Drosophila melanogaster: one gene and its partners. The protein of the gene in region 2 purifies or fractionates together with the protein of the main gene of each other region. This does not show direct contact. Each region holds a gene or a part of one and is shown on either strand. Other genes may lie near its edges.

Region 1 (7,118 bases), on a different chromosome or scaffold from region 2:
CTGCTTATTGATGATTATTATTACTTGATTTTTGCTCGCACTGCTGCTTTTGTCGCTTATTTCCGATTTCAGCTGCTAACTGAGACTGTTCAATTGTTCAATTCGAACAGCAAATTTATGCAGCGATTAGCTCGAGTTTGAGTTTGTTTTTGCGGCTGCGGTTGGAATAAGAGAGAGAAAAAGAGAGAGAATAATCAGAAATGCAATTGCAAGCAACCTTGAGATACTTTTGTTATCGTTATCGCGGGTTAAACGGTCACTGCATTTGCCAGTTGAACGAACTTTAACCGCATCTCTCGCGTTGAGTGCGTTTCGTTTGAGTGGATTTTGCTCTCTTCTCTATCGACAGGGTTGACACCTAACATTTTTAAAAGAAACAATCATGGTCGGAAGAAGAAGAGAAATTATATTTATAAATGCGAAAGCACGTTGGTTTTGAAACGTCCTGCACTCAAAAATAATCGATAAGTCACTCAAAAATAAAGTTTATGAGCGAACACACGCATTGAAAAAGCATGTAGGCAACTAATACAGACGCAGAAAAATTAAAATTCCAAAAATAACTCATGGCGACGAATAGAAACGCAAAGCGAGTGACGAAAAAAGGGCCACCAGGCGTCGAAAGTGAAATGCGTACCCTACTATTACGAAATTCGTAGGAGCTTATTGGTTTCAGTATACGCTTTAAAACTATTTAATACTTTTTTATGTCTTTCTCTCTATTGCTAAATCAAAGTTTGTTTTTAATTTTTATTAAACATGGTTTCTTTATTTTTTAATTATCAAATTATTAGCAATTACATACATAAACGTAGATGTACTTAAAATTTAGTTGTATTCATCAGTTTTTGTATAATAGTCTGTGTGGGCGTTGCATTTGTTTGGCCGGCGTAAAACGCGACCACGCCCACCCATAAAAAATGCGACGGATCGCTGAGCCGCTACGTGTACTTCCATTTTCTTTCGTTTTTCTTCTTTGTTGCTTTTGTAATTGTTGTACATTTGTGTTGTTGCTGTTAATGCTGTTGTTGTTGTTGCTGTTCTTATTGTTGCTCGTCCGGTAAAATGTCTGCAGGAAGCTCAAGAACCGGTCTAAACCGGGAGAAAGCCGTTTTGGTGGATCGTAAACCCTATGGCCATGGCTAAAAATATATATTGCTGGCTGGTTGTCACTTCCGTAGGCATGAGTCTATATATATAATGTATGTATGTATATGTATGTATAATGTATAATGTATTTTATGTTGATTGTACAAAAAATACTTAAATAAATATGTCTGTTGTCAGGAGCGTTTGTTTTCTTTAGTTAATCCTCTTGACCTGTATCTTATAAATCACTCACTACGTGCTCGTTGTTTTTTTTTTGTTGTTGTTTGCTGACGTCGACTGGTTTATCTGGGATATAGCTTAAAAACTAATTTACTAAATATGTAGGTGGAGCGTAAGTACATCGAAAATATTGTTTTTCTTGCAATATTTTCAAAGTTCTTGCCGCCGCGAATACAAGAAGTGAACGTCTTACGTAAATTCTATGTGGCATAAAAAAGAGGCAACATGCCTCTCCAGTTTATACCAAATAAAGTTTACAATAGATTAGTTAACGCGGAAATACAAAAACATCGAAACAATAAACTATAGAATTTGTTAAGAAAGGGAAAACGAAAGTGTACAAACGAAACGAAGATTCAGGATGTCTTCTACACAAATGTTTTTGATTAAATAATTGGCGCTGCGGCCACAAAAAATAACTTAGCTGAATAATAAATCTCTGTACCTCGGTGTGTGTGTTTTTGGGTTCTAAATTATGATCTTCGTGTGTGCTTATTTTGTTTGTCTTGTTCAGCAAAGAGGAAAGAGTTGTGTTGTGCTGCGTTTGATTTTACATAATGGCGCACTTCTCGTTTGACTGCTGAGGATCGCCCTGCTGGTGGTAGAGCTGCTCATTGCCGTCCACGGCGGTCACGCTGCGACGACGACTCAGCCGGGAGGAGGATGTGTGTTGGGACACAATGCGCTTGATGCGATCCAGATTGGCCACGGCCTCGCCCTCGGAGTTCAGCAAAATCGTCCTAGTGTTGTCGGCGGAGACCCACTTCTGTGACTTCATCACAAGGCTCGATGGCGGCTCGTGCGAGGCCTTGGTGTCCGCCGACCAAACGGTGATCACGCCATTTGGCTCGATCCTCACCGATCGATGGAACTTGTAAGTGGTCGAAGGACCTTTCTCGTTGATTAGCCGCTGCAGCTGCCAGCCACCGATGGCCACCTCCTCGCTGCCCTTGTTGAACAGCCTTACGAACTTGCCCTCGGGATCGATCTCCTTGATCTCCACGTTGCCCTTGGCACTGGCGGACACATAGTAATCGGCGACGCTGTGATCCTCCGACTCGTCGACCACGGCGCGTTTGCGCTTCACGGCAGCAGAGGGAGTGCGACGCGATGGCGTGGCTCGCGTGGAGTTGCGCAGCGACTGGCTAAAGGACTGCACTGTGGCCGTGTTGGTGGCTGGGGTGATGTTCAAACGAGCCTCCTCGCCCACCAGCAGCTTGTCGTATGCGGCGATTTCCAAATCCAGGGAGACCTAAGCAGGATAATTAGATTTATGTATTAATACGTACACGATTTTAGACAAGTATTAAAGCTAACCTTGATGTCCATAAGGTCCTGGTACTCCTTGAGCTGTTGCGTCATCTCTTCGCGCAGCCGAATGAGCTCCTTCTCGAGAAGGTCTATCTCTTGACCGTGGCGTTCGCGATCGTTGTCCAGCTGGCGCTCCAGATCACGGATCCGCGCATTGAGGTCGGCATTGGCTTGCTCCAGTTCGTTGATATTGGCGTTGAGCGCATCGATACGCACACGAGTGGAGCGCAGCTCCTCGATGGACTTGTGCGTGGAATTGGATGTGCGTGCGGCGGCCTCTTGCAGTCGTTGGATCTTGTCCTCGTAGAGGGACTGGATTTCATCGCGATTAATCTGCATCTGCTCCTCGTACTGGGCGCGCAGCTCCTGCAGCGACTGCTTCAACTTGGCATCGTACTCGGAGCTGAGGCGACCGTCGATCTCGCTATACTCTGTCTGTTTGATGCGGCGCGACTCATTGATCTCCTGCGAATGGATCTGATCCTTGAACGAGAGCTCCTCGCGCAGACTCTGAATGGTGTTCTCCAGGTCAACGCGCGACAGTGTCTCCTGTTCCAGGTTCTTCCGCGTTTCCTCGAACTGCTTACGCAGTCTCTCCAGCTCCTTTAGCGCCTCATTCAGGTCTTCGTTAAGCTTCTTCCGATCGGCGTTGGCCTGGTTGTATTTGTTGTTCAGCTCGTTGGCGCGCGACTCGTACATGCGGACATTGCCTGCGGGTTGGGATAATCAATCAATTAATGTTCGTTAAATGCCAGAATAGGGATGATTTTGTCACAGAAAGTGAGGAATATCATGGGATAATCATTATATACAGTTCAGCAACTAAATGAATGTTTCGTTCTTGCTTGAAACCACGCCTTTTGTCTCTTCTTACTTTTAATTTTATCATTACTCTACTTTCTTTGCCCTACAATTATAAGGTTTTCTTATCGATTCAGTTTCCACGCACTTACCCTCAGCAGTGGTGCACTCCTTGGTCTTCTTGTCCAGCTTGTTCTTGAGCTCCTCGTTCTCCTCCCAGAGACGCTTGATATCGATCTCGGCACGAGCGCGATCCCTAGCTGTGTCATCGAGCAGACGGCGCGTCTCCAGCAGCTCGGCCTCGAAGATGTTCTTGATGTTGGTGGTCTCGCGTGTGACCGTGTCCCTGGTGGTCTGCACCTCGATGGTGAGGCGGGAGTTCTCCGTCTCCAGGTTGCGCACCCGGTCAATGTAGGTGGCCAGGCGATCGTTCAGGTTCTGCAGCTCCACCTTCTCGGCCACGCGCGAGTGCCGGGTGGGGCTGAGGGGGCTGGAGGCCGTCTGCGAGTGAGTGGACGGCGGCGGCGGCTGCGGACCCGCCGATGGCGGCCGGGGGGTGGAGGTGTTGCCGGGCTGCGGCGTGGCGGTGCCAGCACGTCGGGATTTGCTCGACATGTTCACGCTGCAAGACAAATGAAATGTGCAGAATAACACGTGAGATTTTTGTGACTGACCTCTTTAGGACACAACACTTGAAGAAAAGTTGAATAACACAATTGCGTGCCTTCTAAACGCGTTTTATATGCAATACTTATATTTGAACTTTTTCGTTCGGTGTAGGGTATGTTATTTTTGCGCCCTGATAAAATTCCAAACAGAACCGAACACGAAAGAGGGGAAACGCACAAAACGCTCAAAAACAGAAGCTAAACGAGTTTCTCTAACGCGCTCTCTCTCTCTCTCGCAGTCTCCTCTACGTCTCACTCACACACACGCACATCGCTTTCCACTCAAGCGACTGTACTAAAGCGGACGAGGAAAACGAAGTGAGTTTGTCGGCGTTTGTTTATGGGCGTGGAGGCAAATGGCGCGGCTAATACTAGTTTAATCAATCGCAACGCTTAGCTAATCCAGTCGACGCACTTTAAACGATTTGATAAGGAGCCAAAAATTGCACAATATGGCGATTTTAATTCAATATTTACAGCGACTTTACACTAATACAGGCAGGGGGGTTATTTCGATTTTGAGTGAAACAGTGCCGCCTCTATTGTTCGGCACTTAATCAGTTATTTCAACTTTTTCTACAAGTTTTCCTAATGCTCGTAGATAGCAGCGCAACTCACCTGACTTTTTATAACGAACGGAAAATGCACAAATTTGAAAATGAAGTATCTTGCAGCAGGAAAACGCGGCCGACGCTGGAACGTGTAATCGAATTTGTTGCGATGGTTTCAGAGACTAATCGATAACTTTCCGGCATGCCTGGTGTGACCAAACGCCGCGCTAGATAAAAGACTAAGAACCGCTTGACCCCAAAATGATAAAAAAAAAATTAAATTTAAGCTCAACAAGCCATTTTAATTTAAAGCGTTAGAAGGCATATATTTTATAAAAACTTTTTAGTTGAAGCTTACAAATGGATTTGTTGTGCACAACTATCGATAACTTAACGATATCACCCGGCTCAGCTCGCATGAGTTCTTAAACGTACTTCGGTCACACTGCTCTGCGCTGTTTTTTCCTCCGCATCACGTTAAAGATTTTAAAATAGTTAATTTCACTTTAAAAGCTGTATTTTAAAGTGATAAACGTGCACAAAAGGTGAGTTTGACACTGAAAATCACACTGCACTAAATAAAATCGTCGCTTGTAATGGGTATTTCGTTTTATTTCGAAATACATGTAATGCGGTGCGGTGAAAAAACAAAATGGCGGAGGGAACGCCGGCACCGGTTCCGCAAAAAAAAGCGGCATTTTCTTTAACAAACACATGTAACTTATCTAGTCGCACCCATTTTATTTCCCAGCATTTAGTTGCGAATTTATAGCCGATAACTAGTTAAAGGTAAGAAAGCCGCAGAAATGGCCGACAATGACGATCTTTTGGACTACGAGGATGAGGAGCAGACCGAGACCACTGCGGTCGAAAACCAGGAGGCCCCCAAGAAGGATGTCAAGGGCACCTATGTGTCCATTCACAGTTCCGGCTTCCGCGATTTCCTCCTGAAACCGGAGATCCTGCGCGCCATCGTGGACTGCGGCTTCGAGCATCCCTCGGAGGGTGAGTACTTGCACTCCACCTGGAGTGACGAAAGGTACAGTCACTAACGATGCTCTCCGCTTGCAGTTCAGCACGAGTGCATTCCGCAGGCCGTACTGGGCATGGACATCCTCTGTCAGGCCAAGTCCGGCATGGGTAAGACCGCCGTCTTCGTTCTGGCCACGCTGCAGCAGCTGGAGCCGTCGGACAACAACACCTGCCACGTCCTGGTCATGTGCCACACCCGCGAGCTGGCCTTCCAGATCAGCAAGGAGTATGAGCGATTCTCCAAGTACATGCCCACAGTCAAGGTGAGTCTACGTTTTAATCCATTGTATATAATTCAACAAAAAGTTTGGTTCGACTATATAGTTACTATATATTAATTCGATATGTTTTCTATTTAGGTGGCTGTCTTCTTTGGCGGAATGGCTATTCAAAAGGACGAGGAGACCCTCAAGAGCGGCACCCCGCATATTGTGGTGGGCACCCCTGGCCGAATTCTCGCCCTCATTCGCAACAAGAAACTTAATCTGAAGCTTTTGAAGCACTTTGTGCTCGACGAGTGCGACAAGATGCTGGAGCAGCTGGGTAAGTTGACTAATAATCACCAAATGACGGACGTTTTACTAATAACCAAACCATTCTTTTAGATATGCGTCGTGACGTTCAAGAGATTTTCCGTAGCACGCCGCACGGCAAACAAGTGATGATGTTCTCTGCCACATTGAGCAAGGACATTCGTCCCGTTTGCAAAAAGTTCATGCAAGATGTAAATATCAACGTGTTCATAACCAAAATGCTCGTACTTCTCCACCTCGCATCCACCGCTATCACGACAATTAGTTATTATTTTGTTAATGCCACGCGATATCGAACATTCGATCTTGATCCCCTCCGTATAAGCCAACCACCATCTTGCAAATGGTTAAACGCGTACAACCAAACGTCCAGCGCTCTGTGAGCATAACTCGTATCGAAAAACTTAGTTAATGACTATCGGACACCATTTTCTAAATGGTTAATCGTGGAAATTGGCAACCGTTGCAAAAGCATAAACAAGCAGTAACCGCTGAATGAATCAATTGAAATCGCAAAAGATTTAACAATACCAACGCTAGCAAAAACCAATACCTAAATAAAACTACAAGCAAACAGCAAAGATCCCGCCGACTGGCCGATGAGACGAGTTGAATCAATCCAGAGCGAATGCGATGCGATAGGCCCGCTCATCTGTAATCCGCACACTTCTCAGAGCGATCATCGATCCTCGGGAGCAGTTCAGAGACTAGTTGATGAGATGTGGTGGTAGCGTGGCCGTATGTAGAATATTCTATGCATATTGTTGTATGTTCCGAGGCGAGCCTAGTCTAAGTTCGATTTCTCTGTACCCCTCCTAATTGTGTCCTTTAAAATGCGCCACATTCTATTTCCCAAATCCAGCCCATGGAGGTCTACGTCGACGATGAGGCCA
Region 2 (4,983 bases):
ACAACTCCCACCTTGGACATGGTGCTATAAGGCTAGAAGCTGTAGTCCTTGTGCTCGACAGAATTGGTCTCTGCAGGCGCTGCACCAGGCGTTTTTTTGGATCCCAGCTGGGCGCGAAGGCGACGATGGGAGGAGCGAATGTCCTGCACAGCACCCACTATGTCCGCCTGCGGATCGTTGGTGCGGGGAAACTCCTCGATGAGCGAACGCAACTGTTCCAAGCTGCGACGCACCTTGTCCGTGTGTTTCAGCTGCTGCTGGGCCACCACCTGGCCCAGAATCTTGCCGAGCTCCTCGCCTAGGGATACTCCCTGGGCGTAGCCCAATTTATAGCCCTCTTCGTTGCCCTGCTCCTGGCCGTCCTTCAGTCCCTCCTCGTAGCCCAAACGTGCCTCCTTCTCCTCGGTCAGGACAATATCGTCAAAAAGATCGTTTATATCCCGCGACGGACTTGTCATTATATGTGGTTTCACCGGATTGCTTGTAAAAGCTCTCCTCTAGTGTAGTAGTCCTTGTCCTTGTCCCTGATTGTAACTCCAGATATTTGGCAGCTTCTCTAACTTTAATATTTAAATTCGGTGGATATTTCAATTTGTTTTTACCCGAAATGTGATTCCACTGCGGCATTTTACAGCACTGGCAGAGAGCAACACAACAGCGCTGTTAAGGATTTAACAGGGAAATTCGTTTATTTCAAATAGGAAAATAGCTGTTATCTAAAACTAGAATTTAGTGTTTTATTATAATTTAATATCGAGTTTATTTTAGTCAGTATAAAGAATTGTTTTATTTCATTTAGCATCACAAAATGTTTCATTGTCCTGTAATTTTATCAATTAAAGTTAGCCAATGTTCTCAATAAGAAATTACACACATTTCTGCTAATATGTAGTTTTATTCAACTGGTTGACTTTGACCTAATTTGGCATGCTCGCTTGGGCACAGAATTTGGAATTCGTTTTAGAAATTTGTATGCTTTAAGCTAGAGAACCTAGGTTGCTAGTGCTTTAAGCCAGCCAAGGCACTTAAACCGGTACTAAAGCTAAATATTCACTAGTTCCACCCATCCTCGTCGTCCTCGGAGTGTTCGTCACTCGACTTAGATCCCTTGCGGGGCTGCACCGGCGGCGGTATGACGCGGGAGAGCTGCTGCATCAGGGGATTGCCAGCAGTGGCCTCCACGGGATTCTGGCTCCCAGAAATTCCCTTGCGTCGCAGCATTAGCTTGTTATGCAGGTCTGCCATCAAATCCCCCGTGACAGCGCCTCCCGCCTTGGAGCGACTGTTGTCCACCACGTCGAGCGGCGCAGCCGCAGGCGACCGCAGACGACCGCCATGCACTCCACCGGCGTTTCTTATGGCGGCCATAAGCTCAGATCGCGGATCTTCAGTAGCTGGAGGCGGCTGCGGCATGTTAAGAGGTGTTGCTAACGACGGGGAGAGCGGTTTCACAGCTCCTTTGGTGGGAAAGGGTGGCGGTGATGGAATTGCGCTCGTCTGCGCTGGTGGAGGAGGTGGAGGCGGCGGTGGTGGCGGAGGAGGAGGCGGTGGTGCCGCCGTAACTGGCGAAGGACATTGTCCCACACTCTTCCTACGCACCGGTCCCGGAATGTGCGTCTGTGCCGCGATGGCTTGCACTATTATATCCTGCTCCTCGAGGCCCAAATCCGGCAGCTCTGGTAAATCACCGAACTGCTGGGAAGGCGCTATTGGTGTTTGCTCCTCCACTGGCTCATATTGCAGATCATTCGCTATGCCCGGTAGGTCGGGCAGGTCCAGCGGAACATCAATGGCGGGTGCAGCCAAAGCAGCAGGATTGTAGCGCAGGTCCCCAGCTGGAGTGGCCAGTTTGGTGGTGCCGTGGGCCAGCGAATGAGGTGCCGGAGCGAGCTGCTTTTCTCCCGTGAGTTGAGTGGACTGACTGGCAACGCGTCGAGCATTTTGCGGCGGTAGGGATCGCTTCCAGGCATTCAGATCCTCGCCGTAGGCGAACTCATTGGTATTGAATCGCATGAGCGAGGGTACGGAGCGCACTCCACCCGCAGGCAGGATGCCCAGGCCAGCGGTCCGATTGGTTATCTTCCGTTCGGCGACCAGTGGCGATTCCTGCTCCCGATCGCCACGTACATGGAAAAAGATGTCCGCATCATCCGGCTTCTGGTCCGCGGCACTGTGACTGCTGTACGTCCCTTGCGGGAGCTGGTCCACTTGCTGCTCCATTAGGGGATTGGCTGCCACCTGTGGAAAGGTGGCTGGCAGCGGTGCCAGGACGTCGCTGGCCGGAAAGCGGGCGGGTGCAAAGATCTGGATGGCCCGCTTGGAGCCAACGAGCGCATCGATTTTTGCCTGAGCGCGCTTCACACGATTGTTTATGTCCTCAACCTTTGAACCATTTCTCGCCAAGCGGGCATCGATTCGCTCGAAAATCGAGTTTATGGTTTTGTGTAGACAGTCCAGGGACTGGGCTGCTTGGATTATGGTATCCTCGTGGTGCAGGTCGGTGGCTATAATGGCCACCTGGTAGGGGCTGTGCAGGTAAGGTGACTCCTCCATTTTTCTATCGCCAAATAATTACATATTTATTTGCAATTTTACTGCTGTTCATGGTAGTGTGACCAACTCTAAAAGCTTTACAAGATGTTAAAAATGATTTGGTTCAAAGTAATAATTAAATGGATTTCTTTTAAAATTACGAAACCTCAGATTAACTAACCCCTAGCTAAACGAAACACCAGTCAACTGAACCCTCAGTTACACTAACTCCCACGTAAATTATCATTCAGGTAAACTAGACCCCAGATAAGCTAACCAGATAAACAAACCACCAGGAAACAAACTAACCTTCAGATAAACTAACCCTCAGATAAACTGCGGTGTCTCCCAAAACTATTACTGTTAATAAAGCAGTTAAGGACACGGATCGGCTGTAGTACTTCTACTAGAGAAGGCGGCATTTTTAAATACCTTTCAAACTCATCCCACTGTTAGGAGAACTTTTTTAATCAGGGGATCATTTATTCAGGATCATTACTAAATTAGGCAAATGTAAGCCTATAAGCACGCCATTCCGGAGCACGGAATTTGGAATTCACTTCCAAATGACGAAAAAATAAATAAATAGAAAACGTCCATATGTTCAAAAATCCACCGTTCCTCCATCGACGCTAGGGTAGGGTAGTGTGCCCAAATCAATTGTTAAAAACTGTTCATTAAATGATTTGCTTCAAAGTAATAATTGAATGGGTTCAATTTAAAGAAAAACTCAAAATAAATTAAAATAATTCAAATACACTTATATTTCAACCAAAAAAAAAATTTATTAACAACTAAAGGAAAGGCGTTAATTTTTAGTATGTTTTGAGCTGAGGAACTTGGTAACACTGCAAGAAGCGACACGGCAGCAAAATAAATATCAATTCAGTTCATTGGTAATTCTTAGTTAAATACTCACAAATCAAAAATGGACAAGGTTGTCAAATTCGCCGAACCCGGACGCGCCTTCGCCAAGGACTCAATCCGCCTGGTGAAGCGCTGCACAAAACCCGACCGCAAGGAGTTCCAGAAAATCGCCATCGCCACCGCCGTGGGCTTCGCCATCATGGGCTTCATCGGCTTCTTCGTCAAGCTGATTCACATTCCCATTAACAACATCATCGTGGGATCCTAGAAAGCGGCAGGTGGCCCCCGGACCGGAAAGAGATTACATGTAGTTCACGATTCCACGCGCATCTTTAGCGAAATAAATGCCCCTTCTTCGGATTTTATACACACAATACAATGTAATATCTTTGGCTTGGGTTTGAGATAAGAAAGTCTGGTTATAAATTGGGTGCTTGGAGGGTGTGCTCAAAATGTTGTAAATATATTTCCGAATGCAACTAAGCCAAAATTCAACAAAATCTTAGCTTATCATTCAGCAACAAAATGGCATGTATTGTACTATTTCATTCATCTAGGTCGAGTTGCTTATTTTGAATCGTTCTTCCAATTGACAATGTTTATATTTTGTTATTTTAACATAGAGATGATTTAACATTAAATTCTACATTGTACAATGGCATGTATTTGGGTTCGCCTAATATTGCTTTAAAATTAGAAGATTTTAATTCTGTTATAAAAATCTTTCTTTAACCTTAAAAATAATTTTATATGTGTTGTATGCCTTTTTAAAATTACTGTTTTAGCCATCGTTTTGTTCTGCGACACAATTGCTTTTTCTTAAAAATTCCTAAACAAAGAAGCAACAATTTTTTTACAAAATATAAGCTAAATTTTATAAATTGATGGTCACACTTTTCCTTTTAAGTCGGGGATCGGTTATCGAATAAATTTTAAAACATGGCAGCGCCCACTAAGTTATTTGATTTTAAACGCGAATTTCTTACAACCTGCTACACGCCGAGTGTGTATTAGAGCACATAAGACGAGGGGATATCCAGCCCTGGAATTTTGAACTGCCACGACGAGTTATTCGAGCTCGGATATCTTGCTGTTCACGAAGCCCATCTATCTATATGGAATTGGTAAGTACCACCATTTGCGACTTGGGCTACGGTTAAAGCTCACACGTCGCCTTTTTAAGTTATTAATACATTAATGAAATATACATAGTATACTTACTTATTTTCCCAAGCAAATTTAGCAATCCGTGCATATATTTATGTCTTTCACTGTAGTTCGTTCGACCACTTTAAACTGTGGTCACACTAAAGTACCTGAATTGTGCAATAGCGGTCGCTATCTGGTCTTTTTGTCCAGATTTTTAAATAAAACTGCCAAAATGAGTGCTCCTCGAGTGGGTGGCGTATTAGCTTTGGGTGCCACCGCCCTGGGCGCCTTTTATCTGGGCACCCACGTGGAACGCGAACGCCAGCACAATGGCTCCACAAGTGGCCTTCCGCGGCTGCCTGGTCTGCCCACCTTTGGAACTGTTTCGGCTGCCAGTTTGATTCCCGCCCAAGAGAACAATGTAAGCTTGACGGC
Region 3 (5,410 bases), on a different chromosome or scaffold from region 2:
AAATGAGCAATGCAACCTCAATTTTGCACAAACCACTTTTGGGGGTCTCGAAAAATTATTTTTTGACCAAAAAAATGTGCGTGCTGCGACAAAATGAAAATTATTTTAAATTATAGCCGTGCCACCCAATCCAGCAGCCACCACAACCACATATTACCCCAAAAATGCCAGAGACAGGTACCCCAAATGAATTCTGGTTGCAGTGACAACACATTTTGCACGTTTTGTAGATACAAATGGGTCTAATTTTTATTTGCCTCTAGTTAATTTCAACTGTGAAAAACCATTTTGAAAACGGTGAGTGTGGTGCGTGGTTAAAGATACAAAAATCAGAACAAGTTTCAAAGAACAATTCTAAAAGTATTTATTCATAAAACAATCTTTAGTTACTGATTCTGTTGAGTTTTCATTTTTAAGCCGCATAATGGTCAAAAGTGTGATATTTTCTGGATTGCTATCGCGATTCATATAGCAGTGACACCTCACCGACACAGGGACTCACCCACACCGATACCTTCGCACACACACACACACACACACACACACAAACGCGCCGAGGGAAAGACAGAGACAGATAGACAGTTGGGGAACATTCGCATCGGACACCGTTTGCAGAGCTGCAACTTTAATTGCTTTGGTGGTTTGTGCCAAATTAGATTCTGCGGTTTTGTCGCGTCGCCATTCCGGTAATCGAGGGTGTACTGTACAACGGGGGTCAGAGTGTGATGGGCAAAGTGGGGTATGCGGGATGGTGTCTTGGCCATGGCCTTTTCCCCAAACTCCGTCGAGCTGAAGCCAAAAGCTGACGCTGACGCCCATCAATTAAACTTGTCAATGAGAATGCGATGCAACAGCAGGAACAGCAGAAATAGCGACAAGAACCCGGGGAATAAGAACTAATGGTGACGGTATGGGGGACTTGGAGCTTAGAACAAGGGTTATTGAAGGGAGCTCGAAACCAAACTAAATCGACTGAAAGTTAACTACATTTCACCCGCTTCGCTGGCATTCAAATTAGGTTTCTGTTCGAGACGTGTATATTGGTAATTTGATTGGAGTTTTAGAAATTGAATTCTAGCATGTTTCAAGAAATAATTATCGGCGATGCCACGGAAATCCACGGAACTCTGTATATGAGTTGTGCCAAGAAGAAATGTTTAAATTGTTTTTGTTTATAAAAACTTCTTCTTAAAGGTCACTTGAATATTTAAATTTGCCACAGGCACCTGAAAATACTTCCAAATGCAATCAGCATGGTCCCAGGTATAAGTGGCTTTACATACGCAAGTCGTGCAAATATTATTCCACTTTCCGTTGAATTTGGAATATTTGCAAAAGAATCTAAGGAAAAATGCCTGGCGTCTTTCGAAATTTCCATTTCTCGAAAGCCGCCGGCCATTGACATGACTCTGCGGACTTATCCTGTTGTTCGGTCCTGTCGTTATGGACTCTGTCCTATCTACTATCTTAACAATTGTGCGCACCAAGAAATTGATTTATTTTTGTTTACGCCAAAACAGCAAAAAGTTTACCACATTTTCTGCTCCTTCTCTCCAACTTGCCGTTGGCCAAGTTTTAGTTGGCTTATTGCGTTTGCACTGAAAATCAGAAGTATGTTTCTCAGGATTATTCAATATTTTTCTAACAACTACTTGGCATTTAATTTCTGATATTCCCACGAGCTAAGTAGAATTTTTATTTAATACCTTTAAAGAAGTATATTTAATAGTACAAATTAGACCTAATTATCTTCTCTCTGTGCAGTGCTTTGTTATCCGCTGCTTGGGAACAGTCGGTCTAATCCTAATGCTCCCTAATTACATTGGCCAGCAAGTCAACACAGTCTAGGCCAAGTTTCCCCGCTGCCTATTTGAGTTGGTCATGTCGCTATCTGCTTTCCAGCCCTCTTATCATTTTTTAGACCCATCTTAAAGACACTCCTAATTATTGGCCCTCTGGCGCACAATGCGGCCAGTGAACTGGCTGTTCTGGATTTCTTTTTTTTTTGCCGTTGAGCCCTGTTTATGTGGTTCGACGACACCTGGCGACATCAATTAGGGGGCAGGAATGAGCTCTTCGAAATGGAAAATCGTGGGAAAGTGGCGCCTCATACTGGCCGACAAATGTCAAGATGGCTGCAAATCTCTTTTGCTCTGAAAATCTGAGGTGTTGATAAAGGTGCGATTGAAAAGTTTGATCAATGATACTATTTAAGATTGAAAAGGGTTTCTCGTTATATATTTAGGAAGCAATTTTTCACACTTATTTTTATTTAGTTTTTAATCTCTTACAGTGCCTGCATAATTTGTATGCTTTTTATGCGCAAACATACAGCGCCGCAGCTTAACAAGCATTTTTTTATTTATTTCCCTCATATAAAGAATAATTTTTTTTCCTTCTTCCGCACTGTGGAAATTTATGAAGGGCCCTCGAAATGGCCTACGACCTCTATTCTGCCCCCAAACACATTCCCCAACCCCCGTCAGGTTGCAGCTGGGGGGTGAAAAAAAAAAACGTGGAAAACATCAGACGAGCAAAATGGCGAGCAATAAAAATAATTGCAAAATTCGAGATTCAGGTGGGGGCATGCGGCACGCTTAAAGTGGCACCTCTCTTAGCCACGCCCCCAAGTTTCCAAACCTCTCGCCCCTATTCCACACTTGGCAAACAATGGTGAACAGTGAAACAAAATGTTCATTGCAGTGTAAAATCTGCGAATCGCGGTTTTCTTTTTTTTCACTTTTCCCTCGGTTTGTGTGTGTTTTCGCGTTTTACAATCTGTTTCGCAACTCACGTAAAATATAAGGTAATTTGTGGAAATTTGATGTTTATCGTAAATTGTTTTTTATTTGCACAATGTCACCATTTTGCGGTTTGCCAGCAGCGCAAACTCACACACACACGCAGACTGACAAGCAACACACACACAGGCACGCATTGGTGGTCAGAGTTGCCAAGCAGTCAAAAAATAAAATTCCACAAAAATTGAGTTTTAAAGTTGCGAAATAATTGAATACACTTTTTAAAATCAAAACAAAAATCTGTTAAGTGCAATGATTGTTAAAAATACTAGTGTTGTGCCTAAGTTGTAGTAATTAAAAATAATATATATGAAGATTATTAATTATATATTATACATATATACTGGTCTTTAAATCTGATAAATCATTAATGGTCATTGTTGTTTAATGCTCAGATAGGCAAAATATATTCAGTTTCTGTAAGAATATCTGACAGTCGATCTACATTTTTCCACCTTAATTGTGCGCACCGCAAAAAGAGCATAGATAGATGGTAAAAACAATTGCAAACATTTTTCAATTTACCTGCATGGCGGAGAGGACTTTCCTCCTTTTGTTGTTTACTCCATTTTTTATTGCGTTTTTCTGTGGGCCCAATATTTTGGGCTTAATTGTGGCACGAATACCCCATTGCAGAAGGGCTAACAATGTGATGGCTATGACCATCATAGCCGGATAGAGCTCTTCCATTGGATACACAATCATCTTACCAAAACGATATACAACAAAAAAAAGGAAACGAAAAATTACACAAATTTTGACAGAATTTTGTATGCCTAACCCAATTGAACGGTGTAGACGAACTGCTTGTTTTAAATTTCATTTTATTTACTTTATAATTATCGTATATTCTGATTTACATTGTATAATATATCGTATATCATTACTGTCTAGGTTTACAATTAAAATTAGTTTAAACTTTTGGTTTCGCACTAAAAAGGTCAGTAAAATGTTTCAATCGCCTGGCGTGAACATTTCTGTTCTCTCGGTTCTTTTTTTTTTTAAAAGCAGATTTAATAGTTTACATTTAGTTTGAGTAAAAATTATAGAACGAAAATGGACAGTTTAATATAGTCGCAGACTTAGACTAAAGTTATTGGCTATTTTGATCATATTTGGTTTTGGATTACCAGTACATCTTTGTTTATATCTAGGTGGATACTTGAAAAATGCGTGGGTGGTCTGAGTTTGTTCGGGGACTAAATAAAACTCCTTAACTATTTTTAAAACTATTTTTTTATTATACATAGTTAAAAGTAAGATCATTAATTAAATAAGAAATACCATTTATAGATGTATCTTACTCAACGCCACAGTAACCCATTCATAAAAATGCAGATATTATTCACTATTCTAATAAATATTTTCGATTATGTTTTAAACACATTTATTTCAAATTAAATTTCTAAACTCTTTGGTTTACTCTGTTTATCTATTTACAATGTCCTTAAATCTTTAATATCCATTAAATAGTTTTTATCGCTAAGAGAAATTTATGTAACCTTCATTCAAAAACGAAATTATTTTATTTTACTAAATTCCTTGCTTCCGCTTGCAATTATTCAAATAAAATACTGATACATTTTTCATTTTTAATGCTCACATATTACGTTTTTATTTTGTTTGTTAAAAGTATCAATTATGTGGATTTATTACTCAAATATTTCATAACAGAGCTAAACAAGTATTGGATTAAAGATAATTCCCCCTTCTTTTATACTTTGCTGTGCAATTAAATATTTTGTGTATTTTTACAATATCACTGAGTGCTCAAGGGTTTTACTAACAATCGAAAGCAAGCAAAGAATTCTGTACAACTGATTGTTTTTACAACCCATTTCGATTTTATAATTTTAGAGCGAAAAAAGAAAGCAAAAAGGAATTTGTATCATTTTTGTTTCATCCGCAAGTTGGGAGAAAGTTTTGCTATAGTTGGCTGATGATTTTTCGGTAATCACCTTTCACAAATGAAGGTGAAAAGTAAATAAAAGTATTTGTATTGAACTTTTCACCCAGTTGTAGTTTACAAAATCGGTTTTAAGCTTCCCGCAGTTTAAAATTTAATTCGAATTCGTTTTGATGTCTGTTGATTATTCCATTTGCCGGCTATTATGATTTTATTTTAAAGATTTTCTCTTTTTGCTAAAAGATACTGTTTCTATTTGAATTTCCATATTTTTGCGGTCTTGTATGACGCTGTGTAGATATTTTTTTTGTTAGCCTATTTTTATGTAAATGCAACTCACTTGGACTTTTGACTGGCAGTACTAAATTTTCAAGTTTTTTTTTTAGCAGTTGCAATTTAATGACTCCATGTTCTACTATTTACAGATTGCACAGTAAATAAATTGATATTGTGTGCTCTGATTTTGCCGAGCTGAATTGCACGGAGCTCTTTGTGCAATGGCAAATTAATTTGCAAATTTACACAATCTAATTTTAGGTCACCGAGGGACCCAGACGACCAATTGTTAATTTGTAATTACAATTTTTGCATTATTATTGCTTGCCGACAATGCGAACAATTGAAATTAGCAGCGCAATTAGTCGAACCGAGCAAACAAATATTCGTTCCAATTTAATGCCCCAATGGAGACAAAAGCTAATGA
Region 4 (5,837 bases), on a different chromosome or scaffold from region 2:
AGACCAACGGAAATCGAGACCGAAATCGAAATCGATGCGGCAAGTTCAAAGCCCGCACAGCAACAATGTAACCTGCGAGAACGTTCCACCGATTTGATGTATTTGCTTCGGATAACACAGAAGCAGCCGACCGAAAGCCATTAGAAGGTGCTGAATCTGATGGCATCCACCCGTCTGGTCCGTCTCCCATCTGTAATAACTTGTTTGAGCAGACTAATTGCCCCCGCTGGCGGTTCTCGAGGTTCCCGGGCCAAAACCTTTCGATATCTCACCTAATGGCTTGGATTTTAGCGGCTGAATTAGCGGCAATTAAGGTGTTACAAGGTGATCTCTGTTTGGCCCGAGGAAAGTTCTGATGATAAGCATAAACAAAGGTTACGTGTGAATTTAGATAAGAAATTGACGATCACAGACCTTTAATTACAGAGGTTTAAGAGCTAAGAACATTTTTTAAGTTATTTATAAAAGAAAATTTCTGAATTTTAAGTAGTATACTGAAATGGGTTTTAAAATCCCCTAGGACTTCCTACAGCATTATCAGCCATCTATAGTTCCTTCACCTCCGAGTTACACAGTTCAATTAATACTGTAACTTCCTGTATCTGCGTGCCCTTAAGATTACCCATGTAACTGGCTAATTGTCTATAAGAGCTAACTAATTGGCCACGCTGATACAAAAGCCGGCTATAGGCAGAGTTGGCCTGGCCAAATAGAGATAGACAGGCCCATACGAAGAAAGATGCAATGGAATGCAGTTAATGCTGCAGACCAAAAGCTGAGCTGAGTCACATTAAGGGCCACCTAGGAGAACGAAATCCAAGATTCCCATCACTACCCACTCAGAAACGCATTTTCCAATTAACGTGGCTTATCTAAAAGTCGATAGATTACCGACCTGTATTTTGACAGTCCCCGCGCAGACGAATGATTAAACAATTAGCTGCGAGACAGACTCAGACACGTTCTGTAGATTCAGAGATCGAGAGGCGAAAAAGTATCCCCCCATCAATTACAGCGAATGCAGGGGGAATGCCGAAAGGAAAGGCTGTGATCGTTACACTGGAAAAAATCTACTTTCGTAGATTTGGATTCGATTGTATTGCGGCAAGGAAAAGCGTTCAATCTTCTGCCCAATCCGAACATGACCTGCCTTTCTTCCAGTGATACTTGTGCTCTCCGAGCTACAAAAGAAAGTGAAAAACACTGCTGATAGGGTACTGGGATGGTACCTTCTTCATGGGAGTCGCCGTTTACACTTTCCCAAGCCAGCACGCAATCAGACAGAAGGCAGAAGTGGGGAAAACCCCAATCAAAGCTGGCTGGCTGCATAACTTAAATGCAGAGGTCATCATCGGATGGCGGATAGTGTGGGTTGTTTGTTTGGAAAGCGCTGGGGACTCCGCTGGCGATGGCCGGGCGATGCCAATAGTCAGATGGATGGCACACGGAAACCCACATCACGGCAGATGTCCGAAAATAAAAGGCCGAGAGAAAGAAGTTAACTGTGGCTTATTAACTGAAAATGAAAGCGTTTGCCGAAAAGACAAAGACCCCTCAGCATTCGGAGAGGCATCAGCGCAACCGGTTTTCCGGCCCAGCTAATCACAGCCCCAGTTTTCATCACTGTTACAGTTCCGCATCTGAAGTCAACACCCAACTGACCTCTGACGGGCCGAAATACACATAAACTATATATATATCTTTAGGAAGACTCATAAAAAATAATAGGAAATATTGCTCAAAGGATACAGAACTTAACACAAAGTCGAAAGAATATACACGGGTTGCTAGCTTAAAGGTAGTCAAATTGCATTTGCGTGCAATGTACAATAAATTATTTGTGATTAAAACATGTTACTATAATTGTAAGGAAAAACGACATTAAAATGTCATTTGGGGTTGGCAGGTTCATTAGGTTATCAATCCAAATTGTTAGTTGATCAATGTTGTATTGAACATTTCCACTTCTATATAGATTCTAAAGATTGCCAGTTGTGTGCAGCACGTTAATAAATAAATGTTATAACATTAATAACTATGACTATAGATCAATTTTAGTTCAAATATTTTCAGCATGATTTAAAAAATAATAAATTAAAAATTCAAGGAATAGAAGATTCATACTAAGTTAATTTCCGTTAATTAAACAACTGGCATAAACTGCAGGAATATTAATTTCCGCTAACTGTAGCCGTGAGAAATATGTATGCATATTGATTTTTCAGTAGGTCGGTCTGCTTACCTCTGTTGATGACGCTGCTGTCGCCGCTGCTGCTGGCGCTGTGGTCCGGCTGATCCACAATCACGTCGTGCTGCGGGGGGAGGGGGATCTGCTCCTGCTGCAGTTGCTCCTTAGGCGTCAGCTGATCCGGGCCGGAGAAGTGGACGCTGCCGTCGCGATGGAAGTGCAGCTCGAATCCGGTGGGCAGGGCGGCCTCGTAGTCCGCGGCACAGGTGTGCGCTTGTACGGCCACCTGGTGGTAGAGCCCGGCGAACTGGTGGATCAGGGCCCAGGCCTGGTCCTCGGAGAGCGGCGCCTTAAAGGAGTCCAGGATGTCGTGCAGCGTGACGCACTGTTCTGGCGAGGAGCAGCGGTGGAAGGCTTGCAGGATGAGCGGGCGGGCTTGGCCCGCCTGCTGGGGATGCGCACTGGAGGACATGGCCAGCTGGTCCGCTGGCAGCTTGTGTTGGGCATCGCCGTTGGCGCTGTCCGGCGATGTGGACAGGAAGGCGTCTTCCTTCGCGTCCTTGAACTTTCCACTCGGGGTGGGTGTGGGCGTGGCCTTGACCTTGGTGGGCGGCGTGTCCGCCTGCTCCTCGGCCTGGTGCTCCGTCATTATGTGTGTGGGCGTGTGTGGCTATCGATGGCTTTCAACCCGATTCCACTGCAAACCCGGCACTGGCCAACATATAATTGATTTTTTTGCCTCTTTCGGGTGGGCTAACCTGCAAAATTCGCGGTTTGTTTTTGGTTCGATTTTGGTTTAGTTTTGTTGTTGTTGTTTTTCTGTGTTGTGTGTGGTAAATGGCAAAGGAAACTTTAATACAATAATAACACAACACGAGGGGATGGAATTCGGATTCCCGACGTACACGATTCTAATATTTTGTTTGTCGTCAGCTACATTAAACACAAAGCACAGGGTATAACAAAAAACACATGATTTTCGCTTGAGAATATTTTAAACTGGCGTCACGTTTTTGTTTTCGCACTTCTTAAGTCGGCATTCGCAAATCGCCGTTAGACTCTGCTAGAAATTTCACAACACTGAGGAGATGGAAATCACGCACTTTGCTTTATTTTTATTTTCTTCTGTTTCATTTGCATTTCTTTATTATTTGAAATCTCTCTGTTTTTCTTCGGCAATCGCACTTCGTTTTTTCTCACCGGCTATTTTTTACACACGTCCGTTCGCCGCGAGTTGCTAATCGTAAATGACACTCTTGTGCTCAAATGCATGCAGCATGCAACAATGTTACCAACTTAAATGTTGCCGGAACGGCCGTTCCAACTTGAGTTAAGAGAGCATTTTGTTCGTACAAGAAGAGAAATATCTTCGTTGTGTTCTAAATGAAATTTGAATTGGAATTGAGGGATTTTTTTTTTAATTAAAACTGTTCTTTTGAAGACAGCTGATTCACCTAATAATAAGATCACATCAAAATGTAGAGTCAATTCGACGGAGAGCGAGAAAAAAAAAACAAACAAGCCCGCGGGAAAAACATAAAGTTTTCTCTTTTCAAATTTGTTGCTTCAAAACGAAAAAAGTGAATGGTCTCTTGTTATGATATACTCTCTTTTTCCGTGGAAACATGCATAGCAACAAGATGATGCAACATTCCCAAATGTTGCAGACTAAAGTGTTGCCGACTAAAATGTTGACGGATCAGCCGTTCCAATTGGAGTTGAGGGACAATTTTTATTCGTAAATAAAGAGAAATTTTTTCGTTGTCTTCTAATTGGAATTAAGGAATTTTTGGGGAGCGACAGCTGATTTACATAATATAAACATTGATTACAAGAATATATTGTAGTATGTGCATATATCGAGGGTACACTGTACCTATAAGTACACAGCAACACTTAGTTGCATTGCATAAATAAATGTCTCAAGTGAGCGTGATATAAGATCACCCATTTATGCTTTAAGCTAAGTCAGCATCCCCACGCTGGCCGCTGGCCATATATGCGCATAAGCTCTCTCTCTCTCTCTCTTATACATATATATATACGCTGCTCTTCTGCCGCTGTCGACGGCGGCGCAGTCGCAGTATTTAGGTAAGATTAGACACTCTGTAGAGGTTAAGCGGGCAGAACCGTTTCTGCTACTCGAAGAGATAAGAAGAAATAAAAAGGTGGCCTGACGGCTGCACCCAACTGCAAGGAAAACACGTGTTCTCAATTGGTGGCATATATTGGTTTATTACATGGCGACCGTGAGGCAGGAGCCTGCGATCTGAGGACTACTGAGGAAATGCTGCTAATATTGCCGATTTGATTTGGGAATTCTAAACAGCGACAACAGGTGTGAGAGGCAGGCCGCCCCTTACACCAGTGCGGGAGACCTAGAGACGGGACACTGATGAAAAAAAAAAGAAACAAAAATACTGAGTGAGTAGAGTGTGGTAATGGGCAAACGCGGATGTCAGGAAATCAAAAATAAAGGTATAGCACATATTAAGTGGCTATGATATACAAATAAAACACCGCCCCCATGGGCAACGGCACCGAAATTAACTGCCGAATTAGACTTTCTGAAAGAAAACCTCCAGCAAAGAAAGCCGAATACCACAACTCACTCAGCAAAAATAGAAATAATCAATGAAGAAATAACTGAAAATTCAACATCACCCAAGCCGAAAAGACCCGACGTCTGCATGAACGACTGCCCTCGACCATTGTAAGCCGCAACAGCAATTAGCACGGCATCCTGCGAGGGTAGGATTAGGATAAAGGATAAAGGATTCCACCGGCGCGCCGCACATGACAACAGCGAATGTCTACCAAGCAGACGTTCGAACACCCTGCTCCTGTCGAGCAAAGGGATCTGCCAAGTATCAAAGAGGTAATAGAGGTAGATCCGTCCGCGGGACCAAAGCCCTTGACCATACAAGAGTACAAGGCACGGACTGCAGCGAGGGAGCAGCCACCTAAAAAGAAGAGGGGTGGCCGCCGGATTAAGTTGCTCAGCGCCCGGAGGCTCAACATCGAACTACTGAAGACGGCAACTAATGAGGAAGACCGGCAGCGCTACAAAGAGCGCCTTGCAGCCATCAATCAACAACTTCGTGGTGCGAAGTAAAGCGGCGGGCTGCGTTATACGCCATAGCCTCAACCGCCCAAATATTATATTAATGTTGTCGATGCGGTTTCCGCTGCAACAAAATTACTAACTTATCAGGGACCCATTTCATAACTAACACATTATACTCAGTCCTAAACTTAAAATAAGTAATAATATTGTAAAATTGCAAATTGCAACCGATGTAAACTGAGTATAATGAATTCATCTATCAAGTAAAAATATGTTTAACAACAGTTTAGACCTATTAAAATTTCGAGCTATATTTATATCTGATCGAGATAACAATAATTGACCAATTCTCAAAGTTAAAATTCTATTTGTACTTTTGATATACAAATAAAGACTAATTTTCCCCATATCAAAATGGGACATAAGTCGTGGATACAACCCCACAGTTAAATTCAATGTACTTACTATTTTTGATTTTAGTTATCCTATCAGCCTTTTAACCTGGCCTTAAAACTTTATCAGTTTCACAAAAGATCGTTGAAAAGACTTACATGAGTCGAGCCAATGATTTAGACAAAATCT

Evidence for each region.
Region 1: the proteins of wash (region 2) and Lam purify together in Drosophila melanogaster (affinity purification with western blotting; 2 studies listed by BioGRID, with this or other methods). This does not show direct contact.
Region 3: the proteins of wash (region 2) and capu purify together in Drosophila melanogaster (affinity purification with western blotting, with the first as the bait; one study listed by BioGRID). This does not show direct contact.
Region 4: the proteins of wash (region 2) and spir purify together in Drosophila melanogaster (affinity purification with western blotting, with the first as the bait; one study listed by BioGRID). This does not show direct contact.

The regions. Positions count from the first base shown.
Region 1 is NT_033779.5:5,540,270-5,547,387, reverse strand, and holds Lam (lamin), read right to left. Parts: upstream 4,909-7,118; 5' UTR 4,728-4,908; intron 4,610-4,727; exon of another isoform or gene 4,064-4,609; 5' UTR 4,057-4,063; coding exon 3,594-4,056; intron 3,351-3,593; coding exon 2,647-3,350; intron 2,582-2,646; coding exon 1,880-2,581; 3' UTR 746-1,879; downstream 1-745. Other genes in the region: Hel25E (helicase at 25E), read left to right, coding at 5,467-5,665, 5,732-5,955, 6,052-6,235, 6,298-6,416, 7,088-7,118. UniProt on the Drosophila melanogaster protein: Lamins are components of the nuclear lamina, a fibrous layer on the nucleoplasmic side of the inner nuclear membrane, which is thought to provide a framework for the nuclear envelope and may also interact with chromatin.
Region 2 is NT_033778.4:12,178,271-12,183,253, reverse strand, and holds wash (washout), read right to left. Parts: upstream 2,762-4,983; 5' UTR 2,714-2,761; intron 2,632-2,713; exon of another isoform or gene 2,629-2,631; 5' UTR 2,554-2,628; coding exon 1,054-2,553; 3' UTR 881-1,053; downstream 1-880. Other genes in the region: CG13175 (uncharacterized protein), read right to left, coding at 33-458; CG8860 (uncharacterized protein), read left to right, coding at 3,461-3,667; EndoG (endonuclease G), read left to right, coding at 4,781-4,983. UniProt on the Drosophila melanogaster protein: Acts as a nucleation-promoting factor by activating the Arp2/3 complex to induce actin polymerization. Participates in both linear- and branched-actin networks.
Region 3 is NT_033779.5:3,899,269-3,904,678, forward strand, and holds the start of capu (cappuccino), read right to left. Parts: upstream 3,593-5,410; 5' UTR 3,327-3,592; intron 1-3,326. UniProt on the Drosophila melanogaster protein: Acts as an actin nucleation factor and promotes assembly of actin filaments together with spir. May play a role in intracellular vesicle transport along actin fibers, providing a novel link between actin cytoskeleton dynamics and intracellular transport.
Region 4 is NT_033779.5:20,308,820-20,314,656, reverse strand, and holds the start of spir (spire), read right to left. Parts: upstream 3,439-5,837; 5' UTR 2,838-3,438; coding exon 2,243-2,837; intron 1-2,242.